Linked DNA regions of Ovis aries. The protein of the gene in region 2 purifies or fractionates together with the protein of the main gene of each other region. This does not show direct contact. Links are inferred from orthologs where the notes say so. Each region holds a gene or a part of one and is shown on either strand. Other genes may lie near its edges.

Region 1 (5,604 bases), on a different chromosome or scaffold from region 2:
TGGTCTGATCTTATATAACTATCTGATCCTGCTTGTGCCCTCACAGACAGATCAATCCACCTTCTTTTTAATGATTCTTAAAGCACACGGTATATATCAGGACACTGTGTCCCTAAACTTTCAGCAGGAGAACCACCAACTAGACTTTAATATTTACGATTTTTGATTTCTTTAAAAAATATAATTTTTTAAATATAGGAAGGATATTTTTATCCAGTGAAATGCACAGATCTCAAGGGGACCATCAGTTTGACAAATGCCGCCACTAAGCTCCTTACAATATCTGCTGACATCATGATGTTGGCCTTTGCTCATGGGATTGCAGCCTTTAAGACATCCTGCTGAGACTGTCCTGATGGAACTAAAGTCTACCATTTCAGACCTTCCGATGGGGCTCGAGTTGGGAGGGGCCCTTTCCTTTTGTGCTGTCTAATGTCCCTGGATTTACAAACTTAGAAAAAATAGAGTTCATTTTTATATATCACTCTGTATTAAAAGTAGAAAGAACACAGAGAACCTAGAAAAAGGCTAGAGAAAATTAACTGGAAAAAAATGGGATGGGAGAGGGAATAATTTCAGGGAAAAGCACATTCCTGCAAGCATTCTGGCTGGAGTTGGGCAAGGCTATAAAGTATGCAAAGAATTTGATAACACGCACATTAATGGCCCGTATTATGTAAAAATTATGGCCGGTACAAAAGCAGGACACTTGTGGAGGGTCTTGAAATATAGCATTGGGCTTTCAAAAGCTGCTTCGGAAAGGCCGACCAAAAGTGCACAACCTTCAAATGAAGAAAACTGAAACATTCTGCGAATTACTAACCACCACTCTCCTTGTCATCAACCATGGGAACGGTAGTCTGCGACAGTCTCAACAAAGTTGAAAACGCTGAGTTGAGCTTTTTTTTTTTTTTTTAAGTTTGAGGCCAGAATCAACACATTCTTTTGGATGCTGCCTAATTGTTTTCATGTTTAATATGCATGCTGGTGATATCAGTTTTGAAAACTGTGAAACATTACAGGGAAGAAGGATATAGAAAGGAGTACGGTTCTAACCCCCACCTGCAGAGATGAGCGCGAGCAGCCAACTTCTCCCCCTGCGTTTAGTTTTCACACGGCGTTTCTTGGACGACCGTTCTTTCCACAACCAGCCCTTTCGAACAAAAACGTCAGAAAATATCCATTAACGTCTTTCCCTTTCTCTGCCGGATGGGATCCAGAGATCGCTTATAGGCTGGAAGCGTTCTGGATTAAAAGAGAGACCTTGGAAGGCAAAGGAACTGCAAAGAGACACGCAAAACATCACGCCTTTATTTTGGTGAATTAGCAACAAAGAAAAGGATTAGCGTGGACGGGTACTTTTCAAAAATGTTTTTTTCCCTCGGGCTCCCGCTAGGGTGGAGGAAGTTGCCCGGCTCCGAGGGCGGGTGGACTGGAGTAGAGAGACGGACGGGGCGCGTCCCTCCCGCCTGCGCCCCCGCGGGGACGGCTTGGAGGGGGGGCGGCCGGCAGGTGCCCGCATCCCCCTCCCTCTCCACCCCTCCAGCCCGCGGCGGGCCTTCCCGCTGGCGGGCGCGGGCCTGGGGCGCGGGGGCGGGCAGGCCGCGGGGGGCGGGGCGGGGCCGGGGAGGAGCGCCCGGGGGGCGGGGCGGGGCCGGGGAGGAGCGCCCGGGGGGCGGGGCGGGGCCGGGGAGGAGCGCCCGGGGGGCGGGGCCGGGGAGGAGCGCCCGGGGGGCGGGGCGGAGCGCGCGGCCGGGGGAGGAGCGCCCGGGCGGGCGGGGAGGCCCGCGGGGAGGAGGCCCGGCGCGCGGCGGGCAGCGCCGGCCCCTCCCTCCGCGAGCAGCTGCGGCCTCGGCGCGCGGCGGGCGGCGGGCGGCGGCGGGCGGCGGGTGGGGGTCCCGCGCTCCGGCGCCCAGAGCCAGGCGGAGACCCTGGCGGCGGCCGCGGCCCCGACTCGCGGCGCCTGCTGCGCTCCGGGCCGGCATGTCGGAGGCGGGCGGGCCCGCGCCCGGGGCGCCCCCGCTGCCCCCCGCGCCCCCGCAGGGCCCCCCGGGCGCGACGGCCGGGGGCGCGGGCTCCTGCGGGCCGGCCGCGGCGGGGGCGGCGGCGGGCGCGGCCGAGGGCCCGGGCGGCGGCTGCTCGGCCCGGATCGCCGTGAAGAAGGCGCAGCTGCGCTCCGCCCCGCGGGCCAAGAAGCTGGAGAAACTCGGGGTGTACTCCGCCTGCAAGGTAGGCGCGCCGCCCGGCCCCCGCCCGCCCCCGGGCCGAAGAGCCGCCCCGGGCCGAGCCCCGTCGCGGGGCGCCGACCCGAGAGGACCCCTCCCCCCCCCAGGCGTTGCTCCGCGTCCGCGCTGCCCTGGGGCGCTGCTGCTCTGTAGGAGCTCGCCGCAGGCGCCTTCCGGGAGCGGAGCGGGTCCCAGGGAGCCCCTCTCGGGGGCCTGCGCGCCCCCCCTCGGTCCTCGTCCCCTCTGGGCGGAGCTGGGTGGAAGTGGGGGCGCGACTCCGGACTCGGGGCGCGCGGGGCGGGGGGAGCGGCCGCGGGGTCCCGGGGCGCTGCGCGTGCGGGCGGCCGGGCGCCCCGTGCTTTGCTTTGCAGCCGGGACGCTGCCCCGGCTCTCGGCTGTAAACAGCACTCCCGGCTCTTCTGCCCGTCCGGACGCGGCGCCGCCTGGGGGCCGCTGTCAGCTCGGCCTGGGCCGGGTGACGGCGGGGCGGGGACGGGCGTCCCGGCCCTGCGCCCCCCGCGGAGGGGGCCAGGCCGGGCGCTCGGGGTCAGTAGCCCCGCGCGCGCGTCCCCCGGCCCGGGGGCTTCAGCGTCTGCAGGGGAGTCTCGGCTCCTGGGCGCGCTCCCCTCCGCGCCGCTCACGCCCTGTGTGGACCCTGCCCGGTTCCGTGCAGGCTTGTCGGCTGGGGTAGCATGCACTCACGCTTGAGTGCTCACGGGCATCTCCCGGGCGCCGCTTCCATTTTCACGCGATGTCCGAAGGGCTGGGACGAGGCTGAGAGGCTGCTCTATGGGGGTGCGATGCTGGGCGGCTCACAGGCCCCATCCCGCGGGCAAACCCCAGTGCCACCCGGGACGGTGTCGGACTACTGAAACTGGGCGACAGCGGTGCCCCGAGGCTGGTGTTTCTGAAGGAGCAAAAGTGACCGAGGAGGAGAGTGCTTCTTAGAAGGGCCCGGGGGGTGCCTGGCAGGCGCCGTAGATGAGAGAACGAGGCGGGGGAGCCGCGGGCGCAAGGCAGGTCTGCGCCGGGCCGGGAACGGGCCCAGGTACCCGGCGGCCGCGGGTTCGGAACCAGAGGGGCTCGGCCCGGCGGCGCTTGTCCGCTCCGAGTTTCTAGTGTGGTCTTTTAATCGGGTTCCTTCTCACCCTGCTGCTCCCCTAACTTGCCTGAAGTTTTGGTTCTGTCTAAAACCCTTGAGCATCTGCCCTGCATTCATATTTTTAATCCTTTCAAATGTCCGTGAGTGAAATTAGCGCCTTTTCTAAAGTTTATAACTTGACTGTTTTACGTGCACGTTAACAACCAAACCTATTGGAACGGAGCGCCTTGTCATCGAAGGTGTCTCTTCTTGCTCCTGGGAGGCTGAGGCTCCATATCCAGTTGCTCGTTAGTTCATGCAGTGTTAGAGGGATTCCCATCAGGGTGCCAGGCGTCGTGCTAGCTGGGACAGTGACACCCAGAATGTGTCCTTCTGGGGCTACTGGCCGGACGTGTGCGCGGCCTTTCGTGCAAGTGGTGGGTGAGCCAGTTACAGTGAATCTCAGAAAACTTGCCTTTTTAGAATGCTGTTGGCACTCAGACCAGGCCCTTCACGGACTGAAAAGCACGGGTTGGGTAGGAATAGCTTCCTGGAGGAAGTGTCAGTGGGTGCTAAGAACTCTTAGCGGTGCAGGGTGGGGTGAGCTGCAGCCTCTAGTAGTGAAGAGACTGAAAGCAGTTCTGACAGCTTGGAGCTGGGCCAGCAGGGCCTAGAGGGTTGGTGGGGAGGTGTGTGTGTGGCCAAGAGGGAGGACAGGGATCTTAATATTATCTCAGGTTTTTTGTTTGTGTTTTAACTGTTCTTGAGTGTGAGGAGGTGCAGGAGACCAGCATCTGTGTTCCTTTCTGAGCTTGCCTGTACCTTTTATATAAGAAAACCCCAAAGGACAGATTCCCCTACCTTCTGTCACTGATCGGCCACTTGGCAAAAGTGGCATCTCTCTGGAAAGAGGAGTACTTTCCTGGGGGTGGGGGTGGGTGGGTGTTGGAGTTATTGAAAGAAAATAGGCCTCAGACCTGATAAAAGTCTGGCCTTTAAACTTCACAAACAAGCAGAAAAAGAAGGGAGCTAGTTCCTAGCCAGGGAGGGGCACCACACCCCGGAGAGAAAAAAAAAAGAAACAGACTTGTTTTGCAGGATCCGGAGTAGAGCTCTTGGAACTGTGTCCTGGCCCAGGTCGCTCAGGTGACCCAGGCAGAGTGCTCGTTAAAAATGTAGGTCTGAGCACATTCTGTCCCTACTGACCCTTAATTTCTCTTTACCGCAAGACCCTGCATGGGCTGGCCACTGCTGTCTCTCCGGCCCCTTTTGAGGGCTGTGCATGCAAGGTTCCCTTCTGCCTCAGGGCCTTTGCACATACTGTTCACCAGGACCGAAAGTTCATCTTCCCTCACCTTCAAGCGAACTCCCAGCTCTTCCTGCAAACCTGATTCCTTGCATCACATTCAGAACCCTATTCAGCCTTCCCATTCTAAATTTTCAGAACCCCTCTCTGTACTCATGTCTTCTTCCTGGTGCTTTTGTCTTGACTTTTAATTGTGTGATTATTTGATGATATGTTTGTCACTCTGGATAGATGCTAAGTGATGTGGTTATTGACTGGCTGAGTGAACTAGAAAAAACCGAGATGATTCACTGCTAGAAGACCAGTAGTGAAATTGTAGCCTGATCACTCTTTGACAGCTGGGTGGAGGGAATTGGTGATTTTTCACCTAGGGCCTTTCCAGGGCTCTCACAGATGTGCATAGGACTAGATTTTTAGTGTTATAGGAGCGCCGAGTAAGTTACAAGGAGCCCAAATCCATATCTGTTTGAATGAGAGTGTAATTTATGTACCGGAAAGCCAAAACCATTACCTGATTCTTCCTAGTGAAATAGGCCATTTCTCGAGGAGAGGAGGCTGGAGGGGGTGGTGGGCGAGAGCCCCGTGCGTTCACACTTCAGGCCCCGGTGCGTGACCTTGGACGCGGACTTTACCTCACTCTCCGTCTCCTTGCCTACAGCGCGGGGCTCGGAGCCGCCACCTCGCAGGGTGACACTGCGGACTTCAGATGGGCTACTGTGTCTGAGCACCAGCAGGCGCGTGGTCCCTGGTGCATCCTCTCAGCAGCTCAGAGGAGGGTACCCTGGAGGCGTGGGAGTCGAGAAGGAACGCGGGGCTTGGTCTCGGGTCTCAGCTCTGCCGCGTGTGTGGCCTTGGGCACCAGCCACGGAGTTTCCCTCTGAACCTGGCTTGCTTCATCTCTAAGACGGAGACCATGACTTCAGCCTTGAAGTTCAAAGACAGAAGGTCCCAGAATGTTCCTGGAACCTTAGACTGTTGTTGGGTCCGCACTG
Region 2 (4,289 bases):
GCCCCCTGTCCCTCCCACTGCCAACTCCCCCTTCCCCTCCCTCCACCTCCTCCCTGGCTGCTCTGTGCCCCGGAGCTGAGCAGCTGCCATTTCAATAGAATTAAAGCTTCCGAATGATAAACGTCTTGTCACAGCTGCAATTTTCTCTTCCCAAATTATCCCCCCTCTCTCTCTCTCCCGCTCCCTTCTCTCCCTTGCACTTTATTGAATTTGCAGAATCGACATGAGTGATCTCCAAATTATGCCAGCTCCCCCCCCACCCTGCTACCCCCTCCCTGGGTCCCCCACCCCCCACCCTCTCTTCCTCCAGCGTCAGCAGCCGCCACCACTGGCCCCGTGAGTGATTGTGTGTCTGGGATAATCGGCTGGTAACGACCCCATCGCTTCTTTAAAGCCGAGTGGTGTGTGCGGCTCAGCGCCCCCGGCGATTTGTCAGCTCCCCCGGCTAATGGGCCGAGAGAGTCTCCCACCCGGCCCCCTACTCTCAGGCTGGGGAGCCCTACTCCGTGTCTGCCCGCCCAGGGAGCTGCTCTGAGCCCATCCCGAGCACTGCCAGGAGGGCCGGGGGCAGGGAGGCTGGGAGCACAGACCTGGGACACCTGCACACGGGCTTTCACCCTGGAGAGTGAGCTGGAGCAGACGCCCGGAGAGCGAGCTGGTCTGGGGCACGCATGCTGTGGTCACAGGCCCTGGGGCAGGCCTCAGCGTGAGGGCCGGGTGGGCACCGCAGCGGGGGGGGGGGGGGCCAAGGGACCGGCTGTGCGGATGTCCCGCCTGCCTGCGCGCTCACGTGTGTGCACTTCTGTGCAGTGACAGTTCTTAGTCTGGTGGGCGGAGCTTGGGCTGGGGTTGGACGGCTGGGGGGATGGACCACTGACCCCACCTGCCCTCTCACTGTGCGGCCTGGGCCCTCCACAGCCGTGAGAAATGACCGGAACAAGAAGAAGAAGGAGGTGCCCAAGCCTGAGTGCTCTGAGAGCTACACGTTGACACCGGAGGTGGGGGAGCTCATCGAGAAGGTGCGCAAAGCGCATCAGGAGACCTTCCCTGCGCTCTGCCAACTGGGCAAATACACTACGGTATGGCCCACCCCCCGCCAACCTCATGCCCTCCAGCTGTCAGGCCTGCCCCTCCCCCAGGCTGGGCAAATACACTTCGGTACAGCCCCCCAGGGGCACACCTGCTTCTTCCAGGCCTGCCCCTCCGCAGCCCTGCTTGGGCTGCCTTGTCTGCCCCTTCCCCGCCTCTCAGGAAGTGAAGGCCAGTAGAGGGCAGGCCTGTGGGGCGGGGCAGGTAGAGCCAGGCCCAGAAGGGTGCCACCAGGGGAAGGCCCTCACTTTCCTCCCCCTGCCCCCCCCATCCGCCCAGAACAACAGCTCAGAACAGCGTGTCTCCCTGGACATTGACCTCTGGGACAAGTTCAGTGAACTCTCCACCAAGTGCATCATTAAGACTGTGGAGTTCGCCAAGCAACTGCCCGGCTTCACCACCCTCACCATTGCGGACCAGATCACCCTCCTCAAGGCTGCCTGCCTGGACATCCTGGTGAGGGTCTGCACCTTGCCCACCTAGGCACTGCCCCCTGTGTTCTTGGAGGATGTCCTGCCGCTCAAATAAGCACCTTCCTAAAAATCTGTCTGGAGTCAACCTGTCCAAAGGCCCACCCACCCAAACAGCCACCTTTGCTCTCTCCCGCATGTCTACCTGTCTGCTTAGCCACCCAGCACCCGGTGTGCACCATTCACCTGTACTCTCATTCGTCCATCCTCAGCCCATCTTTGATTCAGTGCTTCCGTCCAGCCACCCATCTTCCCATCTATTCAGTCTAATAAAGGTTCACCTGGGACCCTGTATGGCCAGGCCTTGAACTGGGTTTCAGAACAGAGGTGAACACACCACTGTCCCCTCTTGAGAATCTTCCATTGGTGGAGGCAACAGATAGGTAAACAGAGGTTGCAAAACTGTGATAAGTGCTGGCTGCAGATAGGGGAGGGCTGTCCCCTCCCTGCAGGACAGAGAGCCGCACTGCTGGGCCCTAGGGAAGAGCCCCAGAGGAGGTAGCCTCTAGAGGTGTGTAGAGCGGTATGTGGAAGGCCTGCTGGTGTGGGACCAGTGGGATTCAGGGGCCTGCAGGGCATTTGGTGGGGCCAGAGGGTAGGCTGGACTTGAGGCAGGATGGGGGCGGATGAGACTGTCAAATCCAAGGCTGGAGGGAGGCTTGTCCTCCCTGTCTTCCTCAGCCCTCCTGTTCCCTCTTGGCGACCTCCAAGGTCGGGAACCTGGGCTGTGACCAGGCTGCTGCTCCTGGTGGAAGGGAGATGCAAGAGGCAGGGTCAGGGTTTGAGAGAGCTGAAGATGAGGTACATTTACTGAGCTCTTGTTCTGTACCCAGCCCTGGGAACCATAGACCGAAACCCCCTTTGGTTTGGGCCTTCCTGGAAATGTTTTGTCTCCCTCTTAATTCTCTGTGTGGAGGCAGGATGCTGTAGATTTGCACTGTCTAATACAGTAGCCGCTGGCCATGTATGGCTGTTTTAAATTGAAATTAATTAAAATTAAATTCAGTTCCTCAGTTGCACTCAGCATGTCTCAAGTGCCCAGCGGTCACCAGTGTGACTGGTGGCTACTGTGTTGCACAGAAGGTTCTGTAGAACCGTAGTGGTCTGGCTGCCGGCCAGGTGGTCCTGGGGGGGATGCTGGTGCCGGAAGTGCTGGCGGATGTGAGTTCCTGAACTCGAGAACCCTCTGCACCCAGATCCTGCGGATCTGCACGCGGTACACGCCCGAGCAGGACACGATGACCTTCTCGGACGGGCTGACCCTGAACCGGACCCAGATGCACAACGCCGGCTTCGGCCCACTCACGGACCTGGTCTTCGCCTTCGCCAACCAGCTGCTTCCCCTGGAGATGGATGACGCTGAGACTGGGTTGCTCAGCGCCATCTGCCTCATCTGTGGAGGTGGGCAGGGGCCCTGGGTCTGGGGGCCAGGCTCAGGGGTGGTGGTGTGGCTTGCGGAGCCTCTCCCAGGGAGAAGCTGGGGGATCATTTGATCAGAAAGGCACCTGTCAGACAGGAAACTGAGTCCCAGTGGAGTAGGATCTGGTCTGTGGCCACAGGGCAAGGGAACAGTGATGGAGACCTGAGCTCTGGTTCCCTATTTCCAGGCAGCGCTCCTTACAGGGGGCTTACGAGTGAGGACTTGGAGGTCAGACCACCCAGGTTCAAATCCTGGCCAACATGTGACCTTCAGCAGGGTCGCTGAACTTCTCTGAGCCTCCATTTCTGTAAAATGGGGGCAGTAATGGTCTCCACTTCATAAAGTTGATGGGAGGATTAGGAGGTAATAAATAAGGCACAGTGTGCCCAGAGTAAGACCCAGGAGATGTTGGCTGCTGTTACTATTTTATTGACATGAGTGCTGCCATGTTGGGCTGGTGTCCAGAATAACCAGCAGGAGTGGGAGACCTACCTCTACTTAAGATGGCACTGCCTGTGTTTAGGGGTGTGGGCTCTCAGGGTGAGCTTTGGGACACCCTTGTCCCCAGCCCCTCTTTGCTCACATTTGCCCCTCTTTGCTCACATTTGAGAGCCTCTTAGGGCCTCTGTGTGTGGGGAGGCGTGGGGAGCAACGATACTCTGCCTGTGGCCTGGACAGGGGCGCCCCCTGGTGGTCACGATGGGGCCCGCAGCTGTGCTCCTCACCGGACTGAGCGGGCTTCTCTGCTTCTTCAGACCGGCAGGACCTGGAGCAGCCAGACAGGGTGGACATGCTGCAGGAGCCGCTGCTTGAGGCACTGAAGGTCTATGTGCGGAAACGGAGGCCCAGCCGCCCACACATGTTCCCCAAGATGCTGATGAAGATCACAGACCTCCGGAGCATCAGTGCTAAGGGTGAGGCTCTCTCCCTGTGTGTCTGCCATCCATGTCCAGAGTCAGGCCTCCTGCATCTGAGCCAGTACCCCACATCTTTGTGCCCATGTGATGCCCCACTCACCTGGACCCCACCGTGCCCAGGTGACCTCCCTGCCTGTGAGCCCCAAGGTGGCAGTGTCATCTTGGCATGCTAGTTTAGGGCATGGCTCTGGAACCAGACCATTGTGTGTCCTTGAGCGGGTCACACGACGGCTCTGAGCCTCAGTTACTCATCTGCAGAGCAGGGATAACATTTACGGAGTTGTCTTGAGATGTCAGTAGGAGAGTCAGCAGCACGTAGGAAGGGCCTGGCATCAAGCCCAGTGACCCCAGAGCCAGAGTTGGGAGCTACTTTGCCCTGCTGCCCTTCAGCTG
Region 3 (4,960 bases), on a different chromosome or scaffold from region 2:
AATGGAATCATACAGTATACATTCTTTTGTGGCTAGCTGTCCACTTAGCATGATGCGTTCAAGGTTCCTCCACCTTGTGTGGTCAGAACTCAGTCCTTTCTCTGGCTGAATAGCATTCTCCTGAATGGCTACCCTACATTTTATCTCTTCATCAGTTGACATTTGGGCTGCTTCCACCTTTGGGCTGTTGTGAACAGGTGATGGGGCAGGGGGCAATGTCAGCTCAGTGGAAGGGTCCCCTCTCTATGATGAATTTGCAGCTAGAGAGGAGCTACTACCATTAGTAGGGACCACCACCACCACCACCACTTTGTCCCTAGAGTTGTCTGTGCTGGTCTCTGCTTAGTCGCTCAGTCATGTCTGACTGCAACGCCATGGACCATAGCCTGCCAGGCTCCTCTGTCCATGAGGATTTTCCAGGCAAGAATACTGGAGTGGGTTGCTAAGCCCTCCTCCAAGGGATCATCCCAACCGAAGGATTGAACCCAGGTCTCCCACATTACAGGTGGATTCTTTACTGTCCGAGCCACCAGGGAAGCCCTGGAGTTGTCTAGGCTGGGTCTACTTGTCAAGCGAGCCTTGAGTTGTTGGCAGTATGATCCCTGAGGCCATCTTCTGGCACCGTTAGGATGCACAGGCATTGACGTAGTCCCTGGGGTGCCGCGCCTCAGGGTTGCCATAGGTGAAGTCATGGAGGCTGCAAGGAAGACTTCTGGTCCCCAGTAGGCTCTGGGTATTGGACCAGGAGCCAGCTCTTATGTCTGGGTGAGGCCTTGGAGACTGAGCTGACCCCACACCAGGGGACCTGGGTGGTCCTACTGCCTGGTCATTTTTGTTTTTTATATTTATTTATTTGGCTGCACTGGGTCTTAGTTGAGGCACACGCGCTCTTTAGTTTCGGCATGTGAGATCTAGTTCACTGACCAGGGGTCAAACCTGAGCCCCCTGCATTGGGAGTACAGGGACTTACACACTGGCCCACCAGGGTAGTCCCCTACCTGGTCATTTCTGACTACTTTTGTGTCCCAACTTTGCAGCCAGAGGAGGTGCCGAGGGACCAGATGCAAGCCGCGGGATTGGCCGTGGTACAGCCGGTGCCAGGGGCACACCCTGTGCCAGTGTACGCCTTCTCCATCCAAGACCCCTCCCGCAGAGAAGTAAGATATTCCCCAGCCCTCCCCTCCCCTTCCCAGGGCCCGGATCCCACTAGGTGGTAAGAGGTGGAATGGAAGTGAGAACCCAGACCTCAATAGGCACTGACTCTGCACTCTCCCAGCTCTTGGTTGCCGTGTTAGGAAGCTTCCCTCCAAGCAGGAGCCCCTCCCAGGGCAGTCAGAAGCCAGCAGAGATTGGTGGTCAGTGGTCACCAGCAGGGCCAGTGTGCCTGCTGACTTGGGAGGACCTCTGTGTAGAGAGGTGTGATCCGCACGGCAGATAGCAAAGGGGACAGGAGGAGCAAAGGGCATGGGGCGGGGAACAGATTCCTGCCACTCAGGTCTGGGTCTCTGCCCACGGCCCCAGTCCCCTTGGAGGCTCCTGACCCTGCCCTGTGACACCCCACTGCACAGGAGGGCACCCACACGCAGAAGAGGAAGGCCTGCCAGACCGAGTGCCCCCGGAAGGTCATCAAGATGGAGTCTGAGGAGGGGGAAGAGTCTAGGTTGGCTCAGAGCTCCCCTGAGCAGCCCAGGCCCAGCACCTCCAGGGCAGTCTCGCCACCCCACCTGGATGGGCCCTCCAGCCCCAAGAGCCCCATCATAAGAGATGAGCTCCCCTTGCCTGAAAGCAACCATCAAACCGGCGACCCTGCAGAGACAGGTAGGGAGTGGGGATGGGCAGGATGGGCTGAGGCCTGCATGCTGTCTTCCAGGGGCTGGGTGGGACCCCTCCTCTGCATCCTCACGCCCTTCCCAGGAAGCCCAAGGCAAGCAGCATTCCCTGTGTGTCTTGCCCTCAGCTGCCACCAAATGGGGAAGGGCAAGCCCAGGGTTTGTCTGGGGGGGGCTAGCGCGGATGGTTTAGCCCATGCTTTTCTGGGATGCCCATATAGGGAGCATGATAGCCTGGGGAACACATTTCCTTAGCTCCTTCCCCTGACACACCCTTTTTGAACCCAGTACCATGCCTCTGCACAGGATGGGTCTCCCCAAACAATGTTTGTTGGTGGGTGTCTAGCACATGCTCAGAGAAGACTTGGGTAAAGTCCACACCCGTCGGTTCCCAAATTTTTTTTACGAAGGCCATCCACCTAAGGTATCTCGCTTGCTCAAGGTATCTTTTATGGCCACTGCCAGACAGGGAGTCCTTTCATGTGAGTGGAGGTCAACCCCCAGAATCCTGGAATGTTCAAGACTGTTCTTCCTGGAGCTCTTTTACCCAGTGTCCAGCATTGTTTTCATTCTAGGTCCCACACTGACCCCTGTCCCCGGTCACACTGAACCCTGACCCTGGCCATACACTCAGCCCCAATGGAGAATCCTCGCTCACAAATGCTATTGGTAATCAGGTTTTGTAAACCTAAAGTATCTTTTAACTCAAACATCTCAGCTCACAGAGCTGAGAATTGGAACAACCAGTGTGCTGCTTTAGGATGGTCAAAGGTTCCAAACCAGGTGGTGCTTGTCACACCCCCTCCACAGGTAGTCAGTTCTGAATCATTCCAGGGCCAGTAGCTGAATTAAGTCGTCACAGACAAGGCATAGCAGGCAGTGATGGAAAGCCACCTTGAGTAACCCCTCCGTACAGGCAGATCCTGGCTTCCCAGGTGGCCCAGTGGTAAAGAACACGCCTGCCAACACAGGTAGACATCAGAGAGGCAGGTTCGATCCCTGCATTGGGGGTCCCCTGAAGGGAGGCACAGCAACCCACTCCAGTATTCTTGCCCGGAGAATTCCACTGGCAGAGAGGCCTGGCGGGCTACAGTCCACAGGGTTGCAAAGAGTCGGACATAACTGAGCGACTAAACAGGCAGATCCACGCTGGCACACACGCTGAATGTTGACAGCCCCCTTGCAGGGCACATGTTACCCACCCAGCCCACTGGCCTGCAAGGATTCCCACAGGAGAACACCCTGGGCTCCATCCACGAGCAGCCCTGGCAGGGCCTAACCCTGTCTCCCCTGCTCCGTTTCAGAGGAGCGCGTCGTGGTGATCAGCAGCTCGGAAGACTCAGATGCTGAAAACCCGGTGAGTTGCTCAGAAGTCTGACCCAGGACACTGCCTCCCCCCATTCCAGGTCCCCAGGGGCACAGCCCCAGCAGGTGACTCTCAGACTCACCTCGCGCCCAGGGGATTTATCAGTGAGGCAGTGAGTCCTGAGCTGTCCGGAGGATAGTCTCCAATTGCCAGCTGTGGCCTGGATCGCCCCAGCCCTCCCATCGTACCAGGGTAGGAGCCATCAGTAATCACACGTACTCTTTCTGAAGGCCTGGACAGGGCTTCCCTTCAGAGCCCTATATCTTTTCTGGACTAGCCAATGCCTGTGTCTGCGGCTTCCTTATGCATTGTCTGCCCTCCTAAGTCTCAGTGAGGGGGGCGGACCTGCACCCGTTCCCCGGTTAACGGCAGTGATGCAGGGCCACATGGGGGTATGAGGGTGCAGGGCAGCACCACGCAGGCCCCAGACTAGTACACTGTGACTCCATGTAAGCAGAACTTCCTTTAAAGCCATCCCACAGTGGGACAAGTGGCCGCACGGGTTGTGACCCTCCTGTCCCTGGAGGTTTGTTCATAGCGGTTCATAAAGGCCAGGCTGTCACCTGCCCAGGGGTGAAAGGGATCGGAATTAGAGTGGAAGGCTGGACTGGGTGGCCCCTGAGGCCCCTGCCAGCCTTCAGTCTGAGGTTCTGTGTTGGAAAGCGTGCGGAGCCCACTGAGACCGCCGTCCTGCCTCCTTCCTCATCCATCCAACCCCCGCCGAGAGCTCGCCGAGCGTCCCACTCCCTCCGGGCCTCTCGTCTGTCCCATGGCACATGCCGCCCCTCGGCTTGGCCTCCCCACCATCCTGCCGAGCAAGCTGCCATCCCCGACGCTGAGAGTCCCAGCCAGCCTGCCGGTCACCAGGAGCAAGCTGCCGTCCACCGTGGGATCAGCTTCCTGTCACGTGGGGCGCAAAGAGCCCTGCGCCCTCGCAGCACCTTTCACCTGCCCCTCAAAACGTATGGTGCCCACAGGTGGCCTTGGCCTCCGTCCATGGGTCAAGCCACCACCCCGGCCACCACTGGGCCTCCCAGCCAACCTGCCAATCCCCAGGAGGATCCCACCTGCCCCCAAAGGGCCAGCGGCCAACCCCACCTGGTGCAACTGGCTGCACGACCCCTTGACCCCTTCCCTGCTGTGTCCCAGTGGCTCAACATCTTTCCCCTTCCTCACCCCCCTGGGATCTCCCAGCGTAACACCTTTTATAGGAGAATAATGCGGGGAGGCAGAGCATCCCAAATTCCTGGAGCAGGGGTCTCCCCTGGGGATTCTGGCAGGGCCCCCATGGAAAATCCCCCAGTCCAGGTCCCCCCGGAGGCCTCTCCAAGTGCATTCCTACCACTCCACCCTCTGGAGAGGCCACCCATCAGCACAGACACCCCGCAGACAAGCCTCTGAGTGTCCCAAGCGCCTCCCTCCTCTGCAGCCCTGGAGCTTGGCAGGTTGGCATCCCAAACGTCTTGTCACAGAATGAAGCAGGGAATGCATGGCTCCATGGACCTCTGAACAAAGAGGGTTAAGGCCTCCCCAGTCAGGATATTCTCGTTCCTCACATCCTCAAGTCTCTTTGCCCAAGACAAGGAAGCTTCTCGCACCCTTTGCAACTCCCACAGCCCCATTCTCCCGCCCCAAGCTTTCCCACTGGGCCTCTGCCAGGATGTAAGCCCATGAGGGCAGGGACTGTGTGGCTCCCAGGCCCTGGCAGGTGCAGCTGCTCAATAAACACTTATTGAACAATTACCCTCGCAAACCCTTCTTCCAT
Region 4 (4,960 bases), on a different chromosome or scaffold from region 2:
TTGTCTCTTTCACTTTGTCTGGGGTTGACCGGGGGCGATTTTACCAAACACTTGTTATACACAGTTTCATAAGGTTTTTGGTGAACCATTTGTTTCACAGTTGACAAACCTGATATGTTTATAAGCAACACTTAGGAGTTTGCCTTGGGTATTTTTCATAGAGATTGTTGGGAATTTTAGTAAGCACAGTTTGTTCTTCCCGAGATGATGAATTGGGCAGATTATACATGTTTCTATCTCTTCTTTTTTAGACAAGATGTGAAATGGAGAAGTACCTGACACCTCAGCTTCCTCCAGTTTCTATAATTCCAGAACATAAAAAGTATAGACGAGACAGTGCCTCAGTCGTAGACCAGTTCTTCACTGACAGTGAAGGGTTACCTTACAGTATCAACATGAACGTCTTCCTCCCTGACATCACTCACCTGAGAACTGGCCTCTACAAATCCCAGAGACCGTGTGTAACACACATCAAGACAGAACCTGTTACCATTTTCAGCCACCAGAGTGAGACGACAGCCCCTCCTCCGGCCCCAACACAGGCCCTCCCCGAGTTCACCAGCATATTCAGCTCCCACCAGACCGCAGCTCCAGAGGTGAACAATATTTTCATCAAACAAGAACTTCCTACACCAGACCTTCATCTTTCTGTCCCTCCCCAGCAGGGCCATCTGTACCAGCTCCTGAATACACCGGATCTAGATATGCCTAGTTCTACCAACCAGACAGCAGTAATGGACACTCTTAACGTATCAATGTCGGCCGCCATGGCAGGCCTTAACACTCACACCTCCGCCGTCCCGCCGACCGCCATGAAGCAATTCCAGAGCATGCCCCCTTGCACATACACCATGCCAAGTCAGTTTCTTCCCCAGCAGGCCACTTACTTCCCCCCGTCACCACCAAGCTCAGAGCCTGGAAGTCCAGATAGACAAGCAGAGATGCTTCAGAATTTAACCCCACCTCCATCCTATGCTGCTACCATTGCTTCTAAACTGGCAATTCATAATCCAAATTTACCTGCCACCCTGCCAGTTACTTCGCAAAACATCCAGCCTGTCAGATACAATAGAAGGAGTAACCCTGATTTGGAGAAACGGCGCATCCACTACTGCGATTACCCAGGTATGTGATCCTACCTGGTTAAAGAATCAGTGTGTGTGTTTAGTGTGTTCGTGCGTGCCATTTTCCACCTCACATTCCAACTTTACATGGGAGACTAGTGGTTGACAGTTAAAAGAAAATTCACCTGCTCTGCTCTTGCGGCATCCCAGTCTCCAGTGCCTTACCCAAGTAACTGTTTAGTTACTTTGTGCTTATTTGATAATAGTAAAAAAAAAAGTTTGGAATATTATGGGAAAAAAAAAGTTACTGGACTCTTTTCTTTTTAATGTTAAATACATGAGAGTCTTGCTACACTTACCATGTTTACTGTAGCAATCTAAATTGGAGTTCTTAATTCTAAATTAAGTAACCTGGAAAGGAATTACTTAAGTAACATAGGGGAAAAGAATGGGTGGCAATGAAGAGTGGGTTGGTGCAAGACAAGACCATCTATAGAATAGATTTCAGGGTTGGTTCTGATAGCATGTGACCATATGCTCTTTCTTGAATGAGATATGTGGTCCAAAATATAAATTGATGATGGTGATGAATATATCTAGAAGTTGCTGGCATAAGCTAGTTTATGATTAATACAGGGTATAATTTATTGACTGTGGTACGTGATATGACATGACATACTAAATGAAAAAACAAGAAATGTGGGAGTACAGAAAATTGCAGTCATCTTGGATAATGGTTTAACATTGTCAGCTCTGGAGCCATTAAAATTTTTTAACTCACTGAGGTATGTGTTACTAGTATAAAGCACCTACTGGTATAAACACAGATTTCCCATTTGTAGTTTGGCTTGATTGTCTGCTCTCTTTCTGCTAAAGTGAAACATAAAGCAAATCACTTTATACCTTTAATCAGGTAATAGGGGAGTATGCTTTAAAACATCTCTTAAAACTGAAGCTTCAAATATCTCCTTGCATGAGAGATTTCATCTTTAAAGCCCGATTTTAAACACTGAATCATCAGATGTAAAGATTTCAAAAGGATCTCCAGAATGACACGCTGTTCTTCTCCTTTATTTCAGGCTGCACAAAAGTTTATACAAAGTCTTCTCATTTAAAAGCTCACCTGAGGACTCATACTGGTATGTAATTTTCTTGTTAATTCTGTGAGTTGTGTAAATAGTATAAGTGGTATTCATCCTTTTAAAAGCCAGCACATGTTTGATCTCTTCTTTCTTCTGTCAACTTTTATTTTTTAATGGCTTACCTTTTTCAGCACTGGCTTGGCTCAAAATTCAGTTCAGTGAAAAAAGTTTGGTTCCAGGAAGGCTGATGTTCCCTCATTAAGGCCTTGCCCTGTCACCTCACATAGAATTAATTGCTCCCAAACATAAACAACAATGTTTACTAATGGATTTTAAAACTTTAATGGCATTGCTATTCCTATCTTGAAGGAAAAAAATGTAACTCATTTTCTCCCTCCAGAACAAATCAGTTGGCTTCTATAAAACTACATCAAACACTAAAGCCTTTTCCATTTAGCAGGTAAAGCATAATTGCTTAATAAATTATCTTAATTTCACCTTGAGCCTAAAATATCTGTGTTTAGCATGTTTTCCCTGCTGGTGAAAGGTGGGCTGGAAATTGAAAAATACTAAAATCAGGCAAAACTAGAGTCGTGGTTTAAAAGTTATTTTACATTCTACCCCAGTCCATATTATACATTGGAGAGACTTTATTCCAGCTAATATCTCATCTGTGTTTAAAATGTTTAGCCCCTATAATTTTATAAAAACTTTTGTCAGATCTATACACTCATTTTAAAATTTTCAAAGCTTTATATCAGAACTTATTTGAGGATGAAATTAGATGGTGGCAAGCTGTAAAAATCTCCAAATACCCGAAGTATTTTTAAAACTATGGGTGGTTACCATTAGTGATTTTCTTAAAAGGATAGGCCTGAAGGAAAGAACCTATACAAAGTGATTGTGTTTTTTTTTCCTCTCCGTAAATGCAGCTTTAACCTAAAGTTCAGAGAATAAGTTTGCTAATAAAAGCAATGACCTAGCAAAATGTTTTATTCCATCATTGCTATGGAAACCAAAGTGTTCAACAGTTCCTTTGAATGGGCTGCTGGATTAGTGTGAGGACTTGAATCTCCCCAGGCTAGATGTTACTATGGAAATTGAGTTTTGATAAATGAAGTAGTTATCTCTAACTGCTGCATTAAAAAGTAAAAGCCTTTGAACAAAGGTCAGTGCTGAGATAGAGCTCAAAGAGGAACATGGCTGCAGACATTTCTTATGCGCATTGGAAAGTATTGCTTGATATCCCAGTGATAAATACTACTTAAAATCTGAGTAGTGTTGGCGACAATGTGGTAGATTCCAGGGCTTTCTGAGAAATTGCTTTTAAAGAAAAGACATCTCCTGTATTTATCAGTGAAACCAGTGGGTTGTTTCAACCTGAAGTTTTTAGGTAGAGACAAAAGGCTATCTCCTAATCCCAAAGTAGAAGTTATATTTATACTTAAACAAACACCCATTAGCATGTAAACTCAGTCTGCAGTTTTCAGCATACAAATGACAAGACCATGAAAACAGTCTATGGAAATACTAAACTATCCTTTTATAGAATATATATTATATATTTAGCAAGAAACATTGAAAATGGGTTTTTACTTGAATTATGATTAAGGAGAAGAGGAAATAACTTCAGAACTTTTGAGCTCTTGTCCTTTCTCCTTTGAAAGTCCTTGAAATGGGAGATAGGAAGGAGGAAACAATGTTTCTCCTGAGGTTAAAGTCTCCTAATAAAGGAGGAGCATGATTCCATATATCGATGCAATCAACTGCTTATTGCTGGGATGTAGTCAGGGCATATCTAAATGGCCTTGCAACCCCTGGCAGGGTTTAGTGCTCAGAATGCTTATACCTGGGATTCTGGAACTTGACCTGCTGGCAGGGAAATTTAATAGTGGGTTGTCTTAACGATGCTTATACTGAAAAAGATAAAAACCAACTAAAAAGAAGATGTAGGCCTAGTTTGAATCCCATGTATCGACTTTTCCACGCGATCATAAATGTGTGTCCATTGACATCTGATGAGTGAGACCCCGTAATCCAGTTTAATAAAGTTTTGTTTGATAGCCTTTCAGACGCCTCGAGGAGGGTTTGTGGCAGACTTGTTCATCTGGCTAAACCCGTTCTTGGGTAATCATAGAGCATTGAGGTTGTTTTCTCCTCATTTTTAGTTTCTACACAATGCCTTTGAAAATTACCTGTGTGCTCTCATTGCATCCTCCCCACCCTGTCGTTTTTTAATGAATGTATCTGAAGCTAGCGAAGTTTTTTTTCTTTCCTTCTTCCTTTAAAGGCCCAGGTATTTCTAAATGACTTCTCTCAGTGTAATTAACTTTTTGTTTTAGAGGACTTAAAAAAAAATTTATGTGGGAATGTTGATATTGTATTTTTGATATAAAAACTTTTTAACGATTGCCACTTTAGGCAGAATGTGCAGGACCCTAGGACTTCTTTAGAAAATAATTGTAATTGCTTTAAAATGTCAAGTTACCTTATATTTTTAAAATGTTTTAAGCAATTAAAACAACCTACGCCTGAGTTCTGTTTAATTGCTTATTCTGGATTTTTAGATCGAAAATGCTTCCTGACTTATAAACCGAACATAAGGACATAGTCTTTCCCAAACAAGACGTTTTTTTAAAAATTCGAGATGAAAGAGTAGAAAATGGCTGTTAGAAGTCTCATAGCATTCAAGTTTTTCTGAGTTTATACATTTTGATTTCTTTATTCAGAAAGAATATACAAAAGTAATGCAGAACTCTATGGTTAGACAAAATACCTGAAGTTGATGTTGCCTCTGTTCTAGAGGAAAAATTG

Evidence for each region.
Region 1: the proteins of RARA (region 2) and KAT2B purify together in Homo sapiens (affinity purification with western blotting; 3 studies listed by BioGRID). This does not show direct contact. The link is inferred for Ovis aries from reciprocal best matches to the Homo sapiens genes RARA and KAT2B.
Region 3: the proteins of RARA (region 2) and PML purify together in Homo sapiens (affinity purification with western blotting; 6 studies listed by BioGRID, with this or other methods). This does not show direct contact. The link is inferred for Ovis aries from reciprocal best matches to the Homo sapiens genes RARA and PML.
Region 4: the proteins of RARA (region 2) and KLF5 purify together in Homo sapiens (affinity purification with western blotting; 4 studies listed by BioGRID). This does not show direct contact. The link is inferred for Ovis aries from reciprocal best matches to the Homo sapiens genes RARA and KLF5.

What each region holds. Positions count from the first base shown.
Region 1 is NC_056054.1:278,284,975-278,290,578, forward strand, and holds the start of KAT2B (histone acetyltransferase KAT2B), read left to right. Parts: upstream 1-1,837; 5' UTR 1,838-1,983; coding exon 1,984-2,229; intron 2,230-5,604. UniProt on the Homo sapiens protein: Functions as a histone acetyltransferase (HAT) to promote transcriptional activation. Has significant histone acetyltransferase activity with core histones (H3 and H4), and also with nucleosome core particles.
Region 2 is NC_056064.1:40,340,294-40,344,582, forward strand, and holds part of RARA (retinoic acid receptor alpha), read left to right. Parts: intron 1-918; coding exon 919-1,079; intron 1,080-1,368; coding exon 1,369-1,545; intron 1,546-2,755; coding exon 2,756-2,960; intron 2,961-3,734; coding exon 3,735-3,893; intron 3,894-4,289. UniProt on the Homo sapiens protein: Receptor for retinoic acid. Retinoic acid receptors bind as heterodimers to their target response elements in response to their ligands, all-trans or 9-cis retinoic acid, and regulate gene expression in various biological processes.
Region 3 is NC_056071.1:32,241,476-32,246,435, reverse strand, and holds part of PML (protein PML), read left to right. Parts: intron 1-1,037; coding exon 1,038-1,157; intron 1,158-1,568; coding exon 1,569-1,818; intron 1,819-3,133; coding exon 3,134-3,186; intron 3,187-3,858; coding exon of another isoform or gene 3,859-4,596; exon of another isoform or gene 4,597-4,938; intron 4,939-4,960.
Region 4 is NC_056063.1:48,408,717-48,413,676, forward strand, and holds part of KLF5 (Krueppel-like factor 5), read left to right. Parts: intron 1-251; coding exon 252-1,125; intron 1,126-2,143; coding exon 2,144-2,203; intron 2,204-4,960. UniProt on the Homo sapiens protein: Transcription factor that binds to GC box promoter elements. Activates the transcription of these genes.